3 linked regions of the Arabidopsis thaliana genome follow. The protein of the gene in region 3 interacts with the protein of the main gene of each other region in a pairwise test. Each region holds a gene or a part of one and is shown on either strand. Other genes may lie near its edges. The genes, in order: MYB73, RAP2.12 and AUR2.

What was found.
Region 1: the proteins of AUR2 (region 3) and MYB73 interact in binary tests that used the Arabidopsis thaliana proteins (3 or more experiments, as listed by UniProt).
Region 2: the proteins of AUR2 (region 3) and RAP2.12 interact in binary tests that used the Arabidopsis thaliana proteins (3 or more experiments, as listed by UniProt).

What each region holds. Positions count from the first base shown.
Region 1 is NC_003075.7:17,537,284-17,544,812, reverse strand, and holds MYB73 (myb domain protein 73), read right to left. Parts: upstream 4,324-7,529; 5' UTR 4,212-4,323; coding exon 3,249-4,211; 3' UTR 3,014-3,248; downstream 1-3,013. Other genes in the region: HMA1 (heavy metal atpase 1), read left to right, coding at 1-53, 213-325, 688-926, 1,345-1,450, 1,603-1,767, 1,915-2,131, 2,216-2,403, 2,487-2,573 and 1 more. UniProt on the Arabidopsis thaliana protein: Transcription factor that functions in salt stress response. Acts as a negative regulator of NHX7/SOS1 and CBL4/SOS3 induction in response to salt stress. In response to auxin, activates the transcription of the auxin-responsive gene IAA19.
Region 2 is NC_003070.9:20,130,917-20,139,064, reverse strand, and holds RAP2.12 (uncharacterized protein), read right to left. Parts: upstream 4,222-8,148; 5' UTR 3,824-4,221; coding exon 3,529-3,823; intron 3,266-3,528; coding exon 2,484-3,265; 3' UTR 2,052-2,483; downstream 1-2,051. Other genes in the region: GLIP5 (GDSL-motif lipase 5), read right to left, coding at 1-45, 120-344, 826-950, 1,040-1,340; AT1G53903 (linoleate 9S-lipoxygenase-4 protein, putative (DUF581)), read right to left, coding at 6,223-6,415, 6,515-6,702. UniProt on the Arabidopsis thaliana protein: Transcription factor involved in the activation of hypoxic gene expression and in ethylene response. Partially redundant with RAP2-2. Acts as a downstream regulator in the ethylene signaling pathway.
Region 3 is NC_003071.7:11,032,925-11,042,708, forward strand, and holds AUR2 (ataurora2), read right to left. Parts: upstream 5,268-9,784; 5' UTR 4,961-5,267; coding exon of another isoform or gene 4,436-4,960; 5' UTR 4,289-4,435; intron 4,202-4,288; 5' UTR 4,087-4,201; coding exon 3,874-4,086; intron 3,429-3,873; coding exon 3,321-3,428; intron 3,231-3,320; coding exon 3,084-3,230; intron 2,988-3,083; coding exon 2,892-2,987; intron 2,811-2,891; coding exon 2,715-2,810; intron 2,623-2,714; coding exon 2,526-2,622; intron 2,438-2,525; coding exon 2,320-2,437; intron 2,225-2,319; coding exon 2,152-2,224; intron 2,065-2,151; coding exon 1,963-2,064; 3' UTR 1,728-1,962; downstream 1-1,727. Other genes in the region: AT2G25870 (haloacid dehalogenase-like hydrolase family protein), read left to right, coding at 63-155, 236-307, 566-685, 771-821, 910-1,098, 1,211-1,378; AT2G25890 (Oleosin family protein), read left to right, coding at 4,436-4,960; ATCTH (Zinc finger C-x8-C-x5-C-x3-H type family protein), read left to right, coding at 8,893-9,784. UniProt on the Arabidopsis thaliana protein: Phosphorylates specifically 'Ser-10' of histone H3 in vitro. Associates with cytoskeletal structures that are necessary for cytokinesis and with the microtubule spindle.

The sequences.
Region 1 (7,529 bases), on a different chromosome or scaffold from region 3:
AATTGCCTTCCTAGGTCCATTTTTGTTCAAGTGGCCTTTTCTCAGCACCGCAGGTAAGATGTCAGGATCAAGTTCTCCCTTCTTAACATTACCATAAATCATTGTTGATGTGACAAACTATTCTTGTTGTTTAATAAGATATATCACCATTTGGACAATTGATAAGAGTGGAAAATTGATTGGCTTACTTTCATTGCTTGTTAATGATGCAGCATGTAGAGGATCTGTTTACAGAGCATTGGGACTTATGGTGGCCGCATCACCATGTGCTCTGGCCGTAGCTCCATTGGCTTATGCTACTGCTATTAGTTCCTGTGCAAGAAAGGTATTGTTCAAGTACTCTACGTGATCACCAAGTGTATGTTAGCTTTCTTGGCGTTGTGATGTTTTGCAGAATTGCACTTTTGAGCATTGGTTTGTATATGTTCTCTTGTAGCAAATTAAGCTTTATAAGCTAAATAATCTTATGTGCATCAAATGTCAATGGTGAGGAATGAATGGTGCATATGCAACAACATCGTCTTATCTATGAAGACCACCATATTTCAACTAACTATTTGATATCATTTTCCTTTTGTCCAAATCCAGTTGAAAACATGGTTTATTTTCTTTTTCCTTTTTTTTTGCTATGTAAAGGTAGTATCTTCACGTGTAAGTGTGTAACCCCACCGTGTGTAACTATTATAGGGAATATTGCTGAAAGGTGCACAGGTTCTAGATGCTCTTGCGTCTTGCCATACTATTGCTTTTGACAAAACTGGTACCTTAACAACCGGCGGCCTTACTTGTAAAGCAATTGAACCCATTTATGGGCACCAAGGAGGAACTAATTCAAGTGTAATAACTTGCTGCATTCCAAATTGTGAAAAAGAAGCTCTTGCAGTTGCGGCTGCCATGGAGAAGGGCACCACGCATCCTATTGGAAGGTATTGCTTGTTTAGCATCAATTACTAGTATAAAACTTAATTACCACAAACTCTAAAACCATGCAAGTTGTGACCTATGTGCATCCCATCATCACATAGTTAGTACTGTGGCGCGTCTATAACTCATGGGAAATAAGTTATCTTGTTGGATGGTACATTCATTTCAGGAGATATGTTGACGTAAAGAATTTTAGTCCTACATCTAGAACTTATTCTTATTTCTAGTTCATTACCACAATCGGATGAAAGGAAGGGGAAAAAGCAAATTTGAACGCTATGAAGCTCTCTATCTCTGGTTTTTACACTGGTTTTTACACTGGTTTATTAGTTTAAATGATGCTTGGTCTGGTAAGAGATTGAGACTGAAGAGTACTATAGGTCTTTTCTGCTGTTTCTGACACATTTCATCTTGCTGCAGAGCTGTTGTAGATCACAGTGTGGGTAAGGATCTTCCTTCTATTTTTGTTGAAAGCTTCGAATATTTTCCTGGTAGAGGCCTTACTGCTACTGTCAACGGTGTTAAGGTGAGACTCAGTTATTTACTAGATTCTTATATATATCCATTTATCTACCAGATTTTATAGTGTATAGCTGTGGGTGATGTGTGTACATCTCTGGCTTTCATTCTTAATATATATGATGTTGTCTCTCACCACATTTTTTGGTTTTGTAATAGACAGTAGCTGAAGAGAGTAGATTACGAAAAGCATCACTTGGTTCTATAGAGTTCATTACCTCACTTTTCAAATCTGAAGATGAATCTAAACAGATCAAGGATGCTGTAAACGCGTCTTCGTACGGAAAGGACTTCGTTCATGCTGCTCTTTCTGTTGATCAAAAGGTATACTACGACTACTTCTTTAGCTGGTCTAAAAACCTCTTTCCTACTTCACAGTCTGTGATTTTCATCTCTCATCTGACCATTTATTAGTCCATAAAAACCTCTGTAACACTGAAATTTATGAGCCTTGCAACTAAATTTTGTCAGGTAACATTGATTCACCTCGAAGATCAGCCTCGTCCAGGGGTGTCAGGAGTTATAGCAGAACTTAAAAGCTGGGCCAGACTCCGAGTAATGATGTTAACTGGGGACCATGATTCAAGTGCTTGGAGAGTTGCAAACGCAGTGGGTATTACCGAAGTCTACTGCAACCTAAAGCCAGAGGATAAGTTAAATCATGTAAAGAACATTGCTCGGGAAGCAGGTGATCATTCATTACTCTCGCCATAGTTCCCAATCAAAAACATCTATCAAGAGACTGAGAATTTAGAGTTGTGATTTTTGCTAGGTGGAGGTTTAATTATGGTAGGAGAAGGGATTAATGATGCTCCAGCTCTAGCAGCTGCAACAGTGGGGATTGTTCTTGCTCAACGAGCGAGTGCCACTGCGATTGCCGTTGCTGACATCTTACTGCTTCGAGACAACATCACCGGTGTTCCGTTCTGTGTCGCTAAATCCCGCCAGACAACATCATTGGTAGATAAAACATAAAAGTCTTTGTTCTTAACCAGTTTCAGATGTTAGATTGCCTGATTTAACAAGAATGTATCATGTTGCAGGTCAAGCAAAACGTAGCTCTTGCATTAACATCGATATTCTTGGCCGCTCTTCCTTCAGTTTTAGGGTTTGTCCCATTGTGGTTGACGGTACGTAAGCTAATACCCACTACAAGCTTTTGTTATCCATCATTTACCCGAGAGACAAAACCGCTAACCTGCATTTTTGTGATCATAGGTACTTCTACATGAAGGCGGGACTCTTCTGGTGTGTCTAAACTCAGTACGTGGTCTAAACGATCCATCATGGTCGTGGAAACAAGACATAGTTCATCTAATCAACAAGTTACGCTCACAAGAACCAACCAGTAGCAGCAGCAACAGTTTAAGCTCTGCACATTAGGGGGTAACTTGCTGTTCTTTGTCTAATTCTGCAAAAGCAAGACACTGTGAATTGTATGATCGCTTATGAAACATCAAAATCGTATATATGTTTCGTTTCGACTGGTTTCTTCAGGTCATATATTATGTCACGTGAGATTATATTTACTACTTTTAGTTTATGTTTGTTTCCTCGTAACAAACCCATAGAATAAAAGTTTGAGAAGTGTTTTTGACTTTTCTTCTTCAAGTTTGTGTAAATTGTTAATAAATGATCTTGCTTTGCTTTTAATTGAATCACGAAAGAAGATCATATGATGATGATAACAAAACATTTTTTGATTTCGCTTCCTCCTTTCGTCGTCTCTACTACTGGCTCTATACATGAAAAGCCTGAAACTTTTATTTTCCCGAGAAACAGAGGGAAAACTTGTTCTTATCACTCTACTCCATCTTCCCAATTCCGATTTGGTTCACTATAAACTCTCTAAACCCAACACGACGGCTGTTTACACTTTGTGGCATACACGAACCGCCACCTCCGCCGCCAGAACTACTACCACCGACGTTTCCTCGCTGTAAATCCGCCATGTAACTCCTCACCTCCGTCCTTATCATCTCCTGAACCACCGTCATGAACTCACCACCGAATCCACCAGATATCCCCTTCGCTTCTTCTTCTTCTACTTCCACTTGCTCTTCCTTTCTAACCGGAAACAGCTCCGCCGTATAACCACCGTCCATAACCGTATTCTGGTTAAGTTGAACCGGCTCGTTGACTCGAACCGTCTCGTCAGTCCAAGGAAGAGACAAACTAAGATAAGTTGGAGGATCTTCACCAGACGATGACGCTGTAACCTCAGATCTAACCGTTGGTTTAAACACGTGTGCACCACCACTAGATTGCTCGCTGACGTCAGATCCCGATGGACTTCCGGGACTCATATACAAGCCAGTCGAGACACCACCACCACCACTCGCCGTACGTTTCAACGGTTGCTCTTCTCCTAAATTACCATCATACCCTCCATTACCACCAAAATCACAACTTTGCCCTTCGACGCTGCATTTTCGCTTCAGCGTCGAGTTCCAATGATTCTTGATAGCGTTATCGGTTCGTCCATTGAGAAGACGAGAGATCGTAGCCCACTTGTTACCAAACCGAGCGTGAGCTCGAATAATCGTCTCGTCTTCTTCCTGCGAAAAAGCACGGTGCTCTACCTCCGGAGATAGCTGGTTACACCACCGGAGACGACAAGATTTGCCGGAACGTCCAGGGATTGATTTGCTAATCAAAGACCAGTTCCTCGGACCATGTTTCTGAACAAGCCTCTGCAACAGATCATCTTCTTCTGGACTCCATGGACCTTTAATCCTCTCCATATTCTTACGGGTCGGGTTTGACATCGCCGGATCTTTTTATCGGATTGTTCTTTTTTTTTCTTCTAACGCGTCCTCTTTTTTTTTGGTCGTTACAGTTTTTTTTTTTGTGTGTGTTGGGAAGAAAAGCTTTTTGGTTGAAGAGGATAAGAGCAAGAAGAGAGAGTATTTATACGAGAAAGGAGTGGGCAAAAGGGTCACCGGTTCAACCGGTAATTTTTTCTTATCGATTTAACAGAAACGATATTAAACTAGTTAAACTTTACAGTGTAATATTATCCTTAACTGCATAAAAATATCTAACGTATTATTAAAAACAAATTTTATAGAAGGAAACAAATAAAACCGTTTTCTCTATTAATAAAGAGATTTGCTCAGTGTTAAACGGATAACTATGGTAGTTCAAACAATAAAAAATAAAAACTGATAATTATGGTCGTTACTCGTTAAACAATTTTGACTCATTCAGTCAAAAAAATATTGGTGAATTTAATTAATTTAAACGTATGATTAACCATTGTTTATATGTTCATAATTATGTGTCCATAAATGGGCTACGTACAAACCTCGTTAACGTTTGGGTATAAAAAAATTGACAACATTTACGTGTTTGTATGATTGGAACAGATATTTATTTTAAACCAAAAATAAAACACGTTGGCGATTGGAAAAGGCGTTTTGGGAGATAAGCGTTTGTGTGAGGTTAACATCGAGCGTGGAGAGCAGAGAATCTTCCAGGAAAAACGGTTGGGGACTTGGGATACAGCTGTATATTAACACGTGTCAAGTAAGTATATGTACTTTGAGTTTGAGATTTGCTTTTTTTTTTTCAATTGTTCTTTCTTTTTTTTGAGAGATTTGTTTTCTTTTGAAGAGAGAGTACGCTCGTACACAGGAGCGTTTCTTCCACTCTCTGTTTTACAGGTGGAGCGTTTTTACCCAATCATTTCATTTTCCATCTAAAGTGACACTCACAAAAAAAAATCGTTAACTTCTACGTTTTATTCTCTCTATATTTATATCCTTTTTAAAATCATTCTCTTTTTGAATATTTGTTAACTTTTTCGTATGTTTTTTGAAGTTTTATTTTGTAAAATTTTGATACTATTGTAGAAGAAAATGAAATCAAGAATGGCAATGTATATCAAAAAAAATATTAAAGGCAAAATTTTGTAAAAACTAAGAATCTGCTGGAAACATACATATTGCTTTTAAAAATAGTAAGTGCAACAAAAAGACTACATAGAAGTCAATAAAAAATAGCCGAAAGTTTTTGTGTTATGAACTAAAGTTTTTTGATAAGTTATTTTCAATATTTTACACTGTTTGTTACATGTCATTGTCTTCTGTGTGTTGATTGATACGTGTGGTTATTATATAAACGAACGATTGGTCCAATATCCAAATTTTGGTTAAGATGTAAATTGTGTCGGTGAAAATAATGTAGACATTGTAGTCGTTGACAGCGAGTTCTAGGCTTCTAGCTTACATGCAACAAGTGAATGTAATAGTTTTGCAATGTTTGGTCATTGAATTTCTAACAAATATGTACGTGTAAGATACTAGATTAAATATGAATGTTGCAAGTAATAGATCGTTTATATTTGTCAAGTGATAAATTGTCGTATAGAAGAACAACTAAACCGAAGAATTACTAATCCGGTTCAACTTAGTTAACCAGAAATTGAAAGGGTAAACGCCGGTGAAGCGCGTGTAGGATGATGATATATATACAGTGAAGCAAACTTTTCAGGATATATATGTAACTTTTATTTATGTTCTTTGTAAAACAAAAGTGTGTGTAATTGGCAGAAAGAGAGAACAAAACCTAACAAACTGAAATACAACAAATATCTAGATATTCATAAATATCTAAAACCAAGTTCCACTTCATGCAACTTTGCATATATACACACGAAGTTCATAGATTAATTACACAAAATAATGAAAATGAATAACTTAAATACCCTCCAAATTTTGTTTTCATATAGTTTATAAAAAAACTAAACCCTAATGCTCAAAACAATTTATATCTTATGCATTAAAATTAGGGATGTAAACAATAATTGAAGATTATTGTAAAAGAATGTATGATATAATTAAAAATGAAAATTGAAAATACAACAAATATCTAAACCAAGTTCACTTCATATGACTTTGCATATACACATGAGATTCATAGATTATTTACACCAAGATAATGAAAAATGAACAATTTCAGTACCCTCCAAATTTTGTTTTCGTTTAGTTTATATAAAAACTCAACCCTTTGCGCAAAACAGTTGATATCGTATGCACTAAAACATATTAAACTTATGAAGGTAAACCAACAATAATTGAAGTAATATGGTAAAAGAATGTATGATATAATAGAAAAATGAAAAAAGAGCACCAACAAAAAGAAATAAGGAAAACAAGAAGAAGAAGATAAGGATGAAGTTAACGGTTAGGTATGAGGTTTTGGTTCGATTCGGTGACTTTTTGACTGAGGAAGCCAGCCTGTATACCATTATTAGTATTTTTTTTATTTATTTGAAAAATTGTTATCATTATTATGTTTTGGATATTTTGCCGATCTCAAAAATGAAATACTCTAAAAAGCAAAGAAGAAAAAAAGCAAAACAAAAAGAAAAAGATAGGCCAAAAAGAGACAGTTGCTCACGTGGCGCAAAACGACAAGGATAGATCGGAAGGCTGATCGTTACCACTTTAATTTTCTGATATTATAAAAAAAACAAAAACAGGCTGTAAATCTCTGCCTCCCTTTAACGGCCACTCTCCCACCTGCCGGTCACCCACCCACCCTTTTTTATATATTCTTCACTAATTAGTAATTTACCATTCTTAACTCCTTTATAACTTGTGTTTGGAAAACTAAAAATACTTTGGTTTAGTGTTTAGTTAAGAAATTTAGAATTTTTATCATTTGTAAAAAACACAAATTTGACTTTTGACTTTTTTATTTTTTTGAGTTATACACTTAGCTTTTTGAAGGAAATTAAAGAGAACAAAAATATATTTTGGTGTTTTTCAAAATATGTGAGAAAATAAAACTTAAATATTGGAGGGTCGTATTGTCTGAGTGGAATAAATCGTAGTCAACTATATGTATGTTTTTAAGTAAGCGAAGAATTGTATTCGAATAATATATTAAATGCATTGTCCTTATTTTTGTTTCTATTAATGGATTATGTAACCAACCAACGGTTCAGAAGTCATTTTTAACCATAAATTCATTTTTTTATGTTGTGGTCAATTTGATATGCATTCACACATATATCATCAACTACCAACGTTAGAAAAACCGTAGATACTAGTACTAAAACACTCCCATAGAATTCATTT
Region 2 (8,148 bases), on a different chromosome or scaffold from region 3:
CACATTCAAGAACCCGAATTTACGTCCTCCAATCTTGTATATTTCCTGTTACAAAATCTTATAATGGATAAATGAATGTAACAAAAATAAGGTTTATATTATGATGATGATGAACTTACATGAATGAATGTAGTCAGATTACCAATGACAATGTCAACATGTTGAGACATTGAAATGGGAAGAGATTGATTGGTCAAGAAAATGCTTGAGTAGTCATTGCTCCCAATGCTTATCAAATAGACAGCTCTTGAGATTCTCTTCTTGCTTTCTTCTTTACCAAAGTTTGTCCTCCATAATCTCTCCACTTTCTTGTAGTGATCCAATTGTGTTCTCAAATTTATAACCTTACAATTATTAGGAATTGGTTACCACGTTGAACAACATAGAATAATATATCTGACCTAACCTTAAATTTAAAAATCTAATTGTCCTAAATAAGTAAGTGGGTACTACATATTTTGCAATTTAATAAAATTGAAAAGGAATTCTACTATCTTTATAAATAAATAAAGCATGTAAAAGGATACAACAAATCGTAGGTGGGACCAAAAAACTACATTTTAAAGAAGATTGTTCAATTAATTTAGCCACAATAATCGGGTCAAAACTCAAAACCCACTTCCATATGCAATCATTTAATCAACAATTTAGGTATAGAAAAGTTAACTACATTCAATCAAACTCATGGATCAATTAAGCAAACGAAAGTTACGAAACTCAATCAAATGATATATCTATTTTAAGATACATTATAATGCAAAACTATTACTAAAAAAATCCCACAGAAATTAAAATAAAATAAAGTAAAAGATAAAAAAAACGTACCGAACCTTGGAACGTTTCCACAAGAGCACCAGCACCAGCAGACGCAAAGTTGACGCCGTAAAGCTTCTTTTGACTATTTCCCGGTTCCAAAAACGGCGGAATTAACGGCAAATTCGCATATTCCGCTATCATTAACGTACATTTCCGTCAATATTATATCTTTAAATAAGACCACGAGCTAATATATGAATAATAAGAAATATAATCTTCTCACCAATGAAATCAGAGATGAGACGACCGTCGGAGAATCTTCCGGTGGGGAGGCCAAAGAATGTTTGACCATAAGGTGGAAAATTGGCTTGGTCAAGTGTAGTGGTGTTAATGTAATTATTGTTTCCTGCATCCAAGAAAGAGTCTCCAAAGAGGAACAAGGCCGTCACATTATTGTCACCGTTATGAGAAATTTTGGCCGAGGATTTTCCGGCGAGAAAAAGAATGGTAGAAGAGACGATAAAGAAGATGAAGGAGGAGATAGTTCTCCTTGTGACTTTCTCCATTAAAGTTGACTCTCTCATTCACCACAAAATTCTAAAGACTCGTGATGTGTGTGTTATATAGACCAAATCATTTGCTTTTTAAATCTAACTTATAGACATGTCGACAAGACTATGTATTTATTTATGATATAAAATGTGTGTCCACACTTATATACAAAGACTTTTGAAAAGAAGTCAAATGGTTTGATTAGTAATATTAATGCAAGTATCACCATAAGATAATTTCATTTCTTCACAATAATAGGAGAAACCAAATGTTATGTCAAACTTGTCATCACACAACTCAAAGCACCTTGACACTTACATTTTGGGCTACATTTTGACAGTAATACGGTAACTAACAACAATTTATATGAAAAATCAGTAGATTAAATTACCAAATACATATAAATATGTTTCAGTAAAAAATAAAGAATGTGTGCTAATGCTTAGATATTTATACAGAGTGAAAATGACCTAAAGAAGCAGAACTGTCCAGAAGAGTTAATTTACTCTCTTTTATTTTCTGTTATCATAAGGAAACGGTCACGAGAAAGACACAAACTCACCAGTTACCACTTGCAAAAAGAGAGTTCAACCTTTAGAGATTCTTCTGTCGTTTAACGTCGTCGTTTCAACGTTTGTTCCCTCTAGATTCATTGTACCACAAAATAACAAAAGTGGCGCACTTCTCTAGGCAATCACTTTGATGATCAGTTGATCACCGCTTTTTTTCTGATCACAAATTTACGAGAACCGGTTTGGTTCAAACTTAGCTTGTGACTTCTTTGTTATGTTCAACAGTTCTCACATACTCTTAGTAGCATACAAAGAAGATTTATTTGATTAAACAGATGAGAGGTTCAAACACATTATGACAAATGTTAAAGGAGTTTTGGGGCATAAAGTAACAAAAACAAAACACAAACGAATTCAAAAGATTCACTAAAACAAAAACTACCACAACCCCTAAAAATAAGCCTCTACTTAACTTCATCACAACTACCCTCAAGATAGAGGCTCATGGCTTCTCGCAATGCAAACAGGAACTCCTGAGAGAGACAGACAGAGACAGCAGAAGAAGATGCAAGTAACAGACATTAGAAAGTTTTGGAGGTTGATAAACGAACGATGCGGGAAACTCACAAACATGCAGCCTTATTTACATGAAACTGGATCTCTTCAGAAGACTCCTCCAATCATGGAATGAATTTCATCAATACTCCATAGGTCCATAGGGTTTGCACCATTGTCCTGAGTCGTTACAGCATCTTCGTTGAGGAAATCCAGTGAAGCGTCCCATTCAGTGTTGTTGTAAGGTGTCTCGAAATCCATAGACTTGAGCTTCTTAGCTGGATTGGCTTCCTCAAAGAACAGAGCTGAGTTGTTGTTGTTGATAACCGCAGAAGAGATGTCGGGAGTTATCGGAGCTTGATCGCTCCAACCAAACTCCGAACAATCGAAAGAATTACTACCCTGGTCAGAGCTGAAATACTGATACCCATTACATCCAGCATCAACGGAGTTTGTCATCCCAAACTGGTTGTTGTTGTTGTTGCTCACTTGGTGTTTCTCCTCCATGAAACACATATTTTCAAAGGAGATGTTCGAGTTCTGAACCAAAGCTGGACTTGGGTTAGGGTTAGGTTTAGCCACTGGTTTCTGAAGATTAGCCTTCACAGAGCGTTTCTGAGAATTAGCCTTCATGTTTTCTTCAGGGAAATTCACCTTAGCTTTAGATCCACGGATTCTCCGCGCTGCAGCATCGTAAGCTCTAGCAGCTTCCTCAGCTGTCTTGAACGTTCCAAGCCAGATTCTAGCACCTTCCCTTGGATCACGTATCTCAGCAGCCCATTTTCCCCAAGGACGTTGCCTAATCCCTCGGTACTGATTCTTCCTCTTCCTATTTGCAGATTTCTCAGCGTCCCCATCCAAGCCAGTAACTTTCTTACCAAAAACTGAACCTAGTAGTGAAACAACAACAAAACAAAAGAGTTCTTCTATAAATAACTCATCAACAATCTCTAATCAAATCTCATCACACAAATCAAGTCTCATCACTCAACCTCATATGCATATAAATATCACACAAATCAAACCTCATGCTTTATACAACAATCAAAATCGTAAGCAGATAAAGGTATCTATGAACAGAGCTAAATAGAATCGAAACTTAATTTCTAACCAATTCAATCGCTCAAACTAAAGTCAATCCCTAAATATTTACCTTCCGCAGCGGCGGAGACGGCGGGTTTTGGAGTCGAAGTGAAAACGAATGGTTTCACATCGGCGAAAACATCACCGACGTCGAAATCATCATCGCAATCGATAGACGAATCATCTTTGAAACCTTGGAAATCAGCTTCGAACTCAGCGTCAAAATCGAAGAAATTCGAACGATTCTTCGAGCTTTTCTTCGATCCTTTCAAATTCTTCTTCAGATCCGGCCAAATAAACTCGCTAGTAACACGGCGAGACCTCGGCGGTGGAATGAAATCGGATATTATAGCTCCTCCACACATGGCGGCGATTCTTGAGGGTGTAAATGTTCGAAAACAGAATCTTAGCGGCGAAAATGGAAACTAATTGATACTTTTGGGGGTTATATCTTTGCTTCTTCTTCTCTCTTCAACGCTTTGCTTTGTTGTTTTCTTCAGAAAGAGATTTTAGAGTAAAATAAAAGATGAAGCGAGTACGATGGTTGTTTACTATTATACCCTTATCTTGATGTACTATTTACGGTACTACCAGACTTTTATATTCATTTACTGTAGATCTATATTGTAAATTAGGATTTTATTAGTTTATTAATAGTTAGTTGCAGTAAATAAGATTAAAAATTTAGTCAGAGTTGTCTGCTGGTAGACAAAAATAGTCTAAACAAATTTTTACCTAACGTCAATTGATTTTTTCATAAAGTCTATTTCCCTTAGATCTAGTATCTATTAATGTGATTAGGCATTAAAAACACAACTAAATACTTTTGCAATGTTGTTTGCATTCAGGAGTAGCCAACGCAGAACAGATATTTAACATTTAAATTTAAATAATATTATAAATGAATTATGAAAATGTTTTAACATAGGCACAAAATAAATGAATTATTGAAAATATAATGAAAAACTATACAACAACTTTTGAATGTAATTTTGATTAGGAGAGAGGACCATTAAGACCTTATGCTGTTATGCATAAGGCTAAAATTGTAAAAGCATAGAAACACATTTATGAATCTGCGTGTGCAGGACACGTACGATATTATTGAAGCTTTTTGAGCAAGTTGATAGGATTTGGTTTTTATGACAAAGCTTTTGTCGTTTCGTGACAAACAAAAAAGTTATTAAAAATAATCCGAAAAATATATTTGTCCTTTTGTTTGATAACTAGCATTCCAAATCAATTACTAGTTTTCTTAAACTCAATTTAAAATTTCCTTGTAATTCTGTTTACTCTTAACTAACTTTATTAGGTCCAAATTATCAGGCATCGTAAATTACGGAATATTCAGTAGGTATGTGTTATGTGTATGTGTACGTGGAAACCATATTTTGTTGTTTTATGGTGAAATATATTTTATGGTTGCAACTTTCTAAATTATGTATAAACAACTATTGGAAATTCAGTTAAAAGAAAATTTTATTTTATAAAATTCAACTTCATACGTGTATAGTTATACTACATATAATATATATATATATATATATATATATATATATTAGTGCAATCATGTACTATATATTTATATATTAAGATCAAATTGTGAACGCAAAGAAAGACAGATGAATAAAATAGGTAGGGTCCAAATCATTTTACAGGATTGAGACAAGTTCCTAAATTAGCTTATCTCAAAGAAACAGATAATGATGTCAATATGTCATTCATGGAGCAATTATTTGTTTCACTATTTTAACTTTTAATAATTGACTATACTCGTTTCGGAACTGTACATTAGTACAATTTCTTTGTGTTTATAGATATAAACCTTATGTTTTGTTTTTCTAACCAAATTTATAAGAAGCAAAACAAATTCCAGTAGTTGATTTTTTGTTCACTAACTGGAATTCTTAAATCTGAACATAACTTCTCATTAATTGGAATCATTGGATGGATACAAAGTGAAATCATTTTACACAAGGCAAGTTGTCTTTTTGGGCCGAATCGCTAAGATAGTGGGCTTCATAGGTCGAGTTATAGGCACTTGCATTTAGTTTAATTGATTGGCCTTTTAATTGGGCCGAGACCACGAACCTGCTTAGTTACTCGTGACAGTGTGACACTATAAAACAATAAATTAGTTGGGGAATTGGGTTGAACAAAGTGATCACTTGACAAGTAAAACAATAATTCCAATTGTTTAAAATACAGTATTTTGGCCTGTACATATTCAACACGTGACTAAATGAGTTGTTCATATCTTCTCAACCAAAGAGTGTCTATGTCCCTGTCACATACATTTAAAATATCTCCCATACATAAAAAAAAAAGAAGCAAATCGAATAATTTATTTATCAGAGAGATTTTCTTCTTTAAAATAATTCTTTATCCAGTTCATATCCATCATGTCACGATCCAATCTGAATATTAAAATGTTCTTCGAATTAATCAGATTTAGTTATGAAATATGAGTCATATCTCATATGACACTTTGTATCATTTAATTATCTCACTAATTAACGTGTGACTACAAGTAATCTTTATTTTTGGTCAACAGCTACAATTAACCTAACTAATTAATGAGCATTTTTACTAAATCAGTAATTAAACCACCTGAGAATGAGATCACCACATAAACTGTCCAATTAACATTTAAGATTTTGAAAAATGACAACCGGAGATACAATTTAATTCTCTTTCTTTTACTAATAACTTTCATAAGATGTGTAACCAAAAAAACTATAATTAGATATTGCTTAAAGAAGCCTCAAGGAACTATAAATAATTGACGTCGTCGCCGGAGATCATCAAACAAATTCCGAGACTCGCTTTTTCCGGCGCCGTTATTACATCGTCTGTACGAAGCCAACATCATCTTCGTCGAAGCCTCTAGTTCTTTTCTATCATCAATCAACATCTGACTTTCTCTGCACTCTCTACTACAAAATCCCAAATCTCCTCTGTTTTCAACAAAAAAAAAAAATTGAGAATCAAGAACAGAACATCTTTCGTTTACAAAGAGTATATAATATAGTAATAAAAAAAAAAAAATATCGTACCTGTACATGTAAACATCTTTGTCTTGATGGAGTTGTTTATTGCAGAGATGACATGTTTTAAGGAAACAAAGCTCCGAGATGTTTGGATTGGATCGGTTTAGTCTCAGTGAAGATTTGATCACTATATTGTTTAGTTTTTCCCTCGAATCTCTTGTCACAAGTTGCAATCCAACAGAGATTTTAGTCATTCTCTCTATCTTTAGGAATTGGAAATCTGAGTGGAGAGAAATGTGAGAAGGGAGAGAGAGAGAGAGATGAAGTGGAAGCAGAAGCCGAATGGTTTTTGGGAATATATAAAAGTAGATATTTTACTGTATTGAGTGATGTGTCTTTTATGTCTCAATTAAAATGTGGAATTTGACTTTTTCGACATTGGCCAATTTCTTGTCGGGAATTACTACTTTTGCTATTCATCAGAAAATAACCCTAAGACCTAAACTCATACATTCAATGGAATGATTGGGAAAAGGAAAAAAAAACTCGAATTCAATATGTTATAGTTGTTGTTAAATGAACAAATGTAAAATGCTAAAAAAAAGTTTGTTGTAAAGTAATCTATTTATATTTTTAGTTTATACATAATCACTTTTCTAAAACGTGAAACTTAATCAAATGTTATAGACTAATGATATAAAAAAGAATTAAAATGTGGTGTGGACAGATATATTTGCCATCTTTAATGTCTTTACAAATATATTTTTAATTTCATTTATTGTGTTAGTATATTAGATGTTCCGAAATAATTTTATCTTTTTTCACCTTCCCGAATACAGTATACTTTTGTAAACAGTTGAGCACGAAGATAACAAAAAAAACGTGTATATGGGTAATTCCAGGAAAGAACGTAATATTTTTAAAAAAAACGTGGGATTGTAAGTGGCCGGTGTTTTATGAATCTTACAACGTTAGCAGTTAGATCCAAACATTAGCTATAGGCCTATAGCCTATAATAATATTCCATCTGTTTTACAATATAAATTGTTTTAAATAAAAACACGCAAATTAAAAATATTTACTTTTAAAAAATTCTACTAATCACAAAAGAGACTACATAACATAAATAATCATAAAATATTAAAATAATATATAATTTGTATAGAAACTTGAAAACAACTTATATAGTAAAACAAAAAAATTGTTCCAAAACAACTTATATTATGAAACAGAGGGAGTAGTTACTTAGACCAAGCATTAAAATAATACTAAGAATTTACCATCTTTAATTCTATCACGTTTCTCATGCTCTCATTTTCAAAACATCAAATCATATGATATTCCATGTTACATTATAGGTCATTTATCACTACACTGCAATAATTGCAACTTTTCAATATCCAGCGCATACCATACCATTTTTTTTTTTGTGCAAACATTTTAAAGTGTTAAAAGGATATATATACTTTTGCAAAAAAACACAAATGATTCTAACAATAATAAAACAATATAGCAATACATATCTCTAATCAAGAAATCAAAAACCAGAAATGATCATACTATAATATATACTAGTAACTATATATTGAAACTTGGGTGATAAATTTTGAGTAAAGATGACAAGTCACAAAGATCTCGCTACTACCAAAAAAAATGTGCATTAGCAGTAAGAATCAGAGACAAACTATGTCTGTGTATAG
Region 3 (9,784 bases):
TTGCTTGTCTTTGAAATGTTTTGGAGATAGGATATGTTCCTAAATTTATTTATTTATCACAGTCCCGCCCAGGTGCGATCAGAATCTTGAAGACGGCTGATCTAACTGGATCCGATGGCATTATCTCAGAGTCCTCTCCAGGCGTTTTCGTTCAGGTTTACTTGCTCTAACATCAGGGAACTAGTGAGGTGCACCAATATCAATGTAGTCTCACTAAATATCTGTTTAATTACAGGGATTACTTGTCTATGGTAGACAAGGGAAAGAAGTGTATCGAGGAAACTTAGACCGAGATGTCTGCAGAGAGGTAAGTCCACTTAGGATTTAGACTACAACGACTCACAGAATTAATTCTCACATCCTCGGCTTAGTTCACAAACCATGCATTAGAATTCTGGAACCCAGTCTCTTTGCATCATGTAATTCTCTACCATGTTAAGCAGCAAAAAGCTACCTAAGTACCTATGATAGTGCTCAACTTATTATCCCTGTGTATCGTGATTGAATAACTGAGTTCTAGGAATCCTATCTTATACTTACTAAAATGTTGATTTGTTATATACAGACCTGTCTTTATTCTTTGGAGCATCGAATTCCTCTCATTGCATTCAGCCAGGATCGCTGCTTGACATTGTTTGACCACCCTCTTGTCGACTCTCTTCACACAATCTACAATGAGCCAAAGGTAGGTTAATGAAACTGCACGCTCTCTCCCCATCTAGTTATGATTTTTGACAGCTTCTTGCTAATCTCTCCATGATTTTTAACAGGCCGAAATTATATCATCGGTTGATCAACTGATAGCTGAAGCTGACATTCAGGTAATTCCCGGAGTCAGAACTTATATCTTACTTTCTTACATATGTATAAGCCAAAGTACTGATGTTTGGTTCTCTTGTGTATCCGAAGAAAGTGATATTTATGGACACAACCGAGGGAGTCTCATCTGTTATCCGTCCGTATTGGTCAGAAGCTACAGGAGACCGTGCTAATGTTGTTCAAGCTCAATCAGACATGCTAGAAATCGTCCCACCCGGAACCTCCAAAGGGAATGGTGTAAAAATGCTACTCAATCATTTGGGCGTTTCACCGGATGAGGTAATAATCTAGCATCTTTTGACGGCGTTGTAAAGAAACTCAAGTAGGCATAAGTATAGAAGTCAAACAAAAAATAAGATAGTTGATGAAGCAACCCGGATTTTCTTATCAGATAATGGCGATTGGAGATGGAGAAAATGACATAGAGATGCTGCAACTGGCCTCGTTGGGAGTTGCTCTGAGCAACGGTGCAGAAAAAACAAAGGCGGTGGCTGATGTGATTGGTGTGAGCAACGACCAAGATGGTGTTGCTGATGCCATCTACCGCTACGCATTCTGAGACTCCACCACCATATTTAAGTACAAGATACACCAAATTAAATTTTTGAGGTTAAGTAGGCATTATTCTTCTTCTTTGTCTTACAGATAAAAGACAAACATTGGTCATTCTTGTCTCATTCACCCACCTTTTGAAGGAAAATGATTGATTGCAGAGTGCGTCTCTTGTTGTTTTGTTCATGTTCGGTTAATCTTTCATTCGTTTGCCTTTGCACCTTTGCATCTTACAACATAAAAAATGTTCCGGATCTCTTGTGAACAAATCCATCTCATTTGGTTACCTGCAGTAACATCAGTTAACGTTAACCAATCAATTGGTGAATAAGTTACCGATGAACAAAAGCTGTTGTAAGTTTGAAACCATTCCGAACAATTTTTATTTAAAAAGTGATGTAGGATTCGAAAATAATTGGAGTAAAGTTACACGAATCTTGTGGCTATATAAACTTCGTAGAAAAATGTAGTACAAATACTTTTGGAACACAGCAATTACATATATAGAACTATGAAATGGTCAGACTTTTTGCAGTAAGTGGTGCAAAGTGCCAAGAATGCAATCTTAAATCTTTTCCTAGCTTCATCGCTTCATCCTCTGTAAAGGCCTGATGGGTCTGCGTTTTGCACAATCCACGGGTGTTCAAGAAGCTTGTGCAAGGCCAAACGTTGCGTAGACTCCTTAACCAACATCTGTTTGATCAGAAAGTGTGAAAATCAGAATTCACTCTTCAAATGCACAAACACTTAGAGAGATTTACGAGGAATGCGAGTAGAAACCTGGCTAATCAGGTCCTTTGCAGATGATGACACAATGGGTTTGGGAGGGAACTTGAGATCCACTTGAACAATCCTGTATCATTTGTCGAACAAAACCCTTCTTTAATGTACATTCCACTGACCAAACATCATATACTAATCCCATTCTACGCTTAATGAACATGTTACCTTTTGTATGTCTCTGAATGCTCCCTGGCCTCAAAAGGAGGAACACCATAAAGAAATTCGTAGCAGAGAATTCCTAGACTCCATATATCGACACTCGCATCATGTTCAACGCTTTCCACTGTGAATCCAAAAGCAGAAAAGTCAATTAGCTGGTTGCCGAAGAAAGTAATTTAGAATCACACAAGAGAGAGAGAGCTTTCTCTTACCCATCTCAGGTGGAAGGTAATCCAAAGTGCCACACATAGTCCTTCTACGGTTGAATGTGTGTACTGACCATCCAAAATCTGCAATCTTGAGCTCACCCTGAAAACATATATCCATGAATACATAAACACATAAGCTAACTGCAATCACATGGCGTTGATGGAGAAAGATAACCAGATTCAATTTGTTACCTGAGCACCAATCAACAGATTTTCAGGTTTTATATCTCTGTGAATTACATGCTTTCCATGGCAATAGATGAGGGCTCTAGCCAATGACGCAACATACTGCCACAATAAACGTAAGGGTATGACTACACAGATTCACATTAACATGCTAGAATAAGTTCAATTATCACTAGGACTTACAGTTGCTGCTCGACGTTCGCTGAAGTACTTGCACTTCTGAAGCTCTTTATAAAGCTCACCCCTTACAGCATACTCCAAAATCAAATAAACTCTTTTCTGCAACAACGGTATCCCAAAAACTATGTTAACCTCACAGAGCCAAACATTGTATGTCAACAAGAAGTTCTTTTACAAGCACAGATAACACAAAACCTGATCATAGAAGTAACCGTAGAGCCGCAGAATATTGGGATGCCGAAGATGAGATTGAATCTCTACTTCCCTTCGTAACTGGTGTTCAACTTGAGATTGTTGAAGCTGAGCCTTAAAAAGAACCTTTAAAGCCACAATGTGATCGCTCTGTTTGCAAAGACACATAGAAGACAGCTTGGTTAAAAAAGACATCAAATTAATTCTGCTTGTTTAACATAATTGTGAAGAAACACTAACCCGTTTCTCTCTTGCTAGATAAACATGGCCAAACTTTCCTCTACCAAGTGGCTTTCCGATATCGAAATCGCTTGTAGTCCATCTCTTTTGTGCAGCCTCTGAAGCCGCCTGATACAACATTATCACAAAGATTGAAATCCAATCAACTCTCAGATACACTTAATCATAAACGACAAACAATCATTGATACTTTAAAACTTGAAGATAAAAGGATAAAATCAACAGCTCCTTAACACTAATCCACGGATTTGTCAATTAATCTAGGGTCCTCGCTGTAAACGAATAAATCCACAATCATATCATGAAATTTCTCAAAATCATACCAACAAGTCTTTCTCAAATTAAACAGAGAACATTGAAACAAGATTCTTTCTGGCGCAAAGAAAATCAAGCAACCAAATCGATAATCCCAGATCACATTCCATTAGAACAGACCAAACGCAGAGAAAAAACGCAAACCAACAAGGAAGTAAAACCCTAAATTGAAACAAATTCGACAAAAGAACCAAATGAAATTGGAATTTGTGAAACCAAGAACAAGTTATTTTCTTACAATTTGCTGCGTCTCTGTAGAAATCCCCATGGAAGAGATCGTTGATGAGCCAAGATAGCGAGAGAAAGAGAAGAAAGAAAGAGAGAAGAGAGAGTAATTTTCACAAAGGGAACAGATCCAAATTGAGAAATTTAAAAAGGGGAAAAAACGTAAACCACCAGCAAAGCAGCAACGGTCGAATCCAGATGCTGCCACGTGTTGATACATCTGCATCGAGGTTTTTATTTTCAAATAATTTGTCTCCCGAGATGATACAGTCGCTACAGGCCCAGATATTATTAAGCCCACGGTATTCCAACTTCATAATCACTAGGATAATATACAGTCACTACAAGCCCAGATAATAGCCCAATAAGCTTCAAGATCGTTTGACGATGAGATTTTAATTCGGAACTAAGTAACCACGTGTCAGTACCTCGTCAAAGTAGCTCCATGCAGAACTGACACGCCCGCGTGACACTCTTCTCCATTGCCTAACACGCCTCGTCGTTCGACACATGTCTCGTTTAAGTTTAGCCTCTCCTTCATACTAGTCTATTTTCATTCTTCATAATAATCACAAATGGTAAGCTTATTAAAGCTACAAAAACAACATAGAACATTAAATCCATACTCTCTTAGAAAAAGAAAAAAAGAAATGGCGGATCATCAACAACATCAGCAACAACAACAACCAATAATGAGGAGTCTCCATGAATCATCACCATCGACTCGGCAGATAGTGAGATTCGTAACGGCAGCTACGATCGGCCTATCACTCCTCGTGCTCTCAGGACTAACACTAACCGGAACGGTGATCGGTTTGATCGTAGCGACGCCGTTGATGGTTCTGTTCAGCCCGGTGTTGGTACCGGCAGTGATAACGATAGGGCTTTTGACGATGGGATTCCTATTCTCCGGTGGTTGTGGGGTGGCAGCAGCTACGGCGTTAACGTGGATTTATAAGTACGTTACCGGAAAACACCCGATGGGAGCGGATAAGGTGGATTACGCGAGGATGAGGATAGCGGAGAAAGCCAAAGAGTTGGGACATTATACGCACTCGCAGCCACAACAAACACACCAAACCACAACAACTACTCATTAGAGTTTAATAATTATATGGATCTATATGTTGTATTAAGTTTTATGATTATCCTACGTATGTTTTTTTAATACTGTTCTTACCTTTTTGAAAAGATCTATCTAAAATTTTATTTTCTATTTTCCATACAATTTTTTGTGTGTTTAATTGCTGATCGGTATTTTCTGTTTTATGATTGTGAAATAGCTAGTGTAAGGAAAGATGATAACGAATTAAGTAAATTAATAAATGCCAATTACTTGGTCACCGTCTGGCTTCTAGAATTATATGGTGGCTTTCTTGGTATATGTAAATGTAGTTTTGAGTGTGGTCCGTTTGATTTGAAATAATATTGTTGTTTTTATGTTCAAAAAGAAAATTGCAAGGTTTGTGAATTTTGTGTATCAATACCAAGGCTTGAACCACTTTATCTATACTCGCTAAATAAATTTCGAAGGCTGCGCTAAATGGCTCGTGTCATTTACGTTGTCTTCATGAACGTATTGTAGTTAGTGTGATTGTAAAAATATTTCTTTGTTTAATCATTCCTCAAAAATTGTATTCGGCCTTTGAGAGATGCGGTGAGGTCGTATGCATGTTTTCCCAAATTTCGAATACTTGCAAACTGTTCTATGAATGTGGTTTTTAGGTACTCATGAAATAATTGAAAACTTTACTTGTCTATATGTTCGTAAACCATTGGCATTGAATTGCATGGCATGGCTTACTATGCGCGCACCAACAAAATGCACATGCATGCTTCACGAACGTATAAAGAAGCTGAGGGTGGACAACATTCACTGCTTGTAGTGGGCAATGCAGTCTTGTAGAGCAGTTGTACTTTCAAACGAGGTTCTTTGTCAACGTCTGATTGGTTTTCTAGAATAATTGAAGGAGTACTTTTGTCCTTATCCTCGCAATGGACTGAGTAAGTTTCCTCCGCGGTTCCCTACTGGCCATGAGCTATGAATTTTTCAAGTGGTGGGTGCCAGGTGCCGGGTGGGTGCGGCGTTAGGATTATTCCTAAAGTTGAGGATCGATATACGGTTAAGTTTTTTTGTTATGGAGTGGTGTTTCGTAGTTTGTCATTGCATCAGTTTGATAATCTCTTTCTTCTAGCACCAGATTGTTTAGATAAATGTTAGGATATATGTGGAAGCAAAGGAATGATGTGGTTCACAACCAAGTCTCGATCCCAATATCAACTATCTTCAAGCTCATCGACAAAGAGATTCAGAACGTAAGCACCGCAAGACGTAAATGCAAGCGTTATTGCAACCTAATGCAAACTCTGGTTAATTTTAACTCCCACTATGTAATGTGACTTCTACATCATTTGTCTCTTTGTTTAATTTTTTGGCCAAAGATTCAAATCCATTGATATTCAGAGACAATAGTCTATATGGATTTATTAGATATAGTCTATATGGACTTATTAGATGATATTAACATTCATAGAGAAAACAACAAATTAGGATACGTTTTCTTTCTAATGAGAAAGTGAATGTACGAATGGTTGTTGGGAGGCTATTGTGTCTCGTAGATATTTTAAATAATTTGAATGTTTACTAATATAGAATGTGTATTCAATTATAACTATTTAAATTATTTTATTGTTGGTTTAGACGCATTCTTAAACTTTCACATCATTCTCTCGTGACTATTATAATAGTTATCGTGCTCGATCAATCATCTCGTGACTATTATAATTTTATCAATAGTTTATGCATAAGAGAACTGATAACGATCATACTTCTTTTTGTCATTATGATAGCTTATGATTAATCATTGTTTATCCATACTTGACGCTTGTAAGTGAAACATATGTTTAAATTTTCAGGCTTAATTTAATAGCCACGAACCAAAAATTATCTTATAATAAAAGTTTGGTGCGATTTAAGAAGATTTGTCCCCAAAGCCCTATCTGAAAGAGGTCAAATTGGATTATTAAATTCAACATATTAATCAATTTGATATTTGTTTAATGGTCTGATTAGTGACAATTATAAGTCTAATATTGCGAATCTTTTGCAGTGAGTATTCCACGTGATATAGATAAGTTTCCCTTAATGGATAACCTTTGCATCAAACAATTAGAAAACAAATGGAAGAGTATCAATCAAGTAGATCTCGAAGCAGTGGACCCTAACACGATACTGGAACATGGACCAAACCTTAAAATATCGTCCAAATTGCTTATTTTCTGGAAGGTTACAAGTGCACAACACTCTAATAATATATGCCCCGCATAACAATTTTTAAAACTATTTCATCTTAGACCTCGGATATTTTGAAGGAAGCACATTTTCTTGAAAATCACTAGGTGACTTGTGTTTCTTTCTTTGGAGCATGTCAATTTACTCCCATCAGCTGGAGAGCCAAAAGTTAAAATTAATGTTCGAAATTTATTTCATAAAAGCTACGTACGTTGCATCCTTCCATGATCTAGAAAAAATGGGGGACAATAACCAAATTTATTCACTCTTGTCAGGTCATGGGGAGTAGTCTACGACCTTGAAAGTCACGTGACAAGTAATATATACTGTACCGTCCAAATATTTTCTTACTGTAATGTCTTATGTTTCATATCGCTAGACCCTTAATATTAGTGTGGACTAATTCATATAATTGCAAATAAAATAGTATGATTCTACGATTCTTCAAAATGATCTAATAGTTACAGTCTGGTCAAAATGATCTAAATCTTTATAAACAAATAACAGCTACGGAATAATTAACACAATTTTTGGTGATAAACTTTGAGTTATGATAGAAATTTTTTTTTTTTCAATTTTTAATGTGTATCTTAATTTCTTCAATTAATGTATCCCTATGTTTTATGTGACTATATAACTTTTGGTTAGTGATACTCCAAAAATGTTGTTTTAGGTTTTGACACACATATTAATAATTTGTTTTATTTTTTACTTTACAAAATTTCTTATTGGTTAAAACATAAATCACTGCAAATAAAACTTTAATTTTGTTTGTAGTCAAAATTAGCTTTTAAAAATGTAAATTGATATTTATTCTAATTATTTTTTTAATGTTCTGACAATTAATTTAAAACGGAAAGCGTAATAAAGTAGATGTTGGGGCTGATTGGTAACGGCTGTTACTTTTGAACTCTAAATATTTCGGATGTTACGACTTTGACTGTAAAAATTTTGGTTGTAAAAATTTTGACGATAGAAACTTTAACTGTTAAAGTCTGATTGGTACAAAAAAATCACAATTATTTTTATTATTATTTAATATTTTTTATAAATATTATTTATGCTAAAAAATCAATTTATTTGGTAAAATAGTAACTAAAATAAATTTATTTTAAAAAAATACAAAATTCATTTTACAAATTCACTATTTTAAATATTTAAATTGGATCTGAAAAGAACAGAAAAAATAAAATTCGAATTAATCAATCGATTTTTTAATGATAAAATATAAATAAATTTGAAAAGAGTTTTGAAATTTTATGGATAAAGAAAAAATATTTTTATTTTGTTTTATTATTCTCTTTTAAAGTTAAAGACTTTAGGAAAAAAACAAAAGAAAAAAAGTAAATGGAGAGAAAAAAGCTTTTAAAACTTTAAAAATTAATAAAGTTTTAAAAGTGTGATTGATTAAAAAATAAATTTGAAAATTTTTAAATATTTTTAAAGCTTTGAAAACATTTTTTTTTTTTTTGGGGGGACAAATATGAAGAAAAAAAAAAAAAAAAAAAGACGAACATGAAGGGGAAAAAAACAAAAGACGAACAAAAATTGGAGATTTTTTCTTACACGTGTCATCATCTGCAGATTTGCGCTTATTAATTGTTTACCGTACGGTATTGTGGATAGGGTCAAGATTTTCATAACTTTACCGTAGTTAATATTTGACCCAACCATGGTTAAAATAAAGCAGTTTATATCACAGACACACACCTCTCTCTCTTCTAGACTCACTAAACAAAAATGATGATCGGCGAAAATAAAAACCGGCCACATCCAACGATCCATATCCCTCAATGGGATCAAATCAACGATCCAACGGCCACAATCTCTTCACCATTCTCTTCCGTCAACCTTAACAGCGTTAACGACTACCCACACTCTCCGTCACCGTATCTCGACTCCTTCGCTTCTCTCTTCCGTTACCTCCCGTCAAACGAGTTAACAAACGATTCAGACTCATCAAGTGGCGACGAGTCATCACCACTCACCGACTCATTCTCCTCCGACGAGTTTCGCATCTACGAGTTCAAAATCCGGCGATGCGCTCGAGGTCGATCTCATGATTGGACGGAGTGTCCGTTCGCACATCCCGGAGAAAAAGCTCGACGACGTGATCCGAGAAAGTTTCATTACTCCGGCACCGCTTGTCCTGAGTTTCGTAAAGGAAGTTGTAGAAGAGGTGATTCGTGTGAGTTCTCTCATGGAGTTTTCGAGTGTTGGCTCCATCCTTCTCGTTACCGTACTCAGCCGTGTAAAGACGGAACTAGCTGCCGGAGAAGAATCTGTTTCTTCGCTCATACGACGGAGCAGTTACGTGTATTACCTTGTTCGTTAGATCCAGATCTTGGATTCTTCTCAGGATTAGCTACTTCTCCGACTTCGATTCTTGTTTCTCCTTCGTTTTCACCACCGTCGGAATCTCCGCCGCTTTCTCCGAGTACCGGTGAACTTATTGCGTCGATGAGGAAAATGCAATTGAACGGAGGTGGTTGTTCGTGGAGTTCTCCGATGAGATCTGCAGTTAGGTTACCTTTTTCGTCGTCTCTGCGTCCGATTCAGGCGGCAACGTGGCCGAGGATAAGAGAGTTTGAGATCGAAGAAGCTCCGGCGATGGAATTTGTGGAATCTGGGA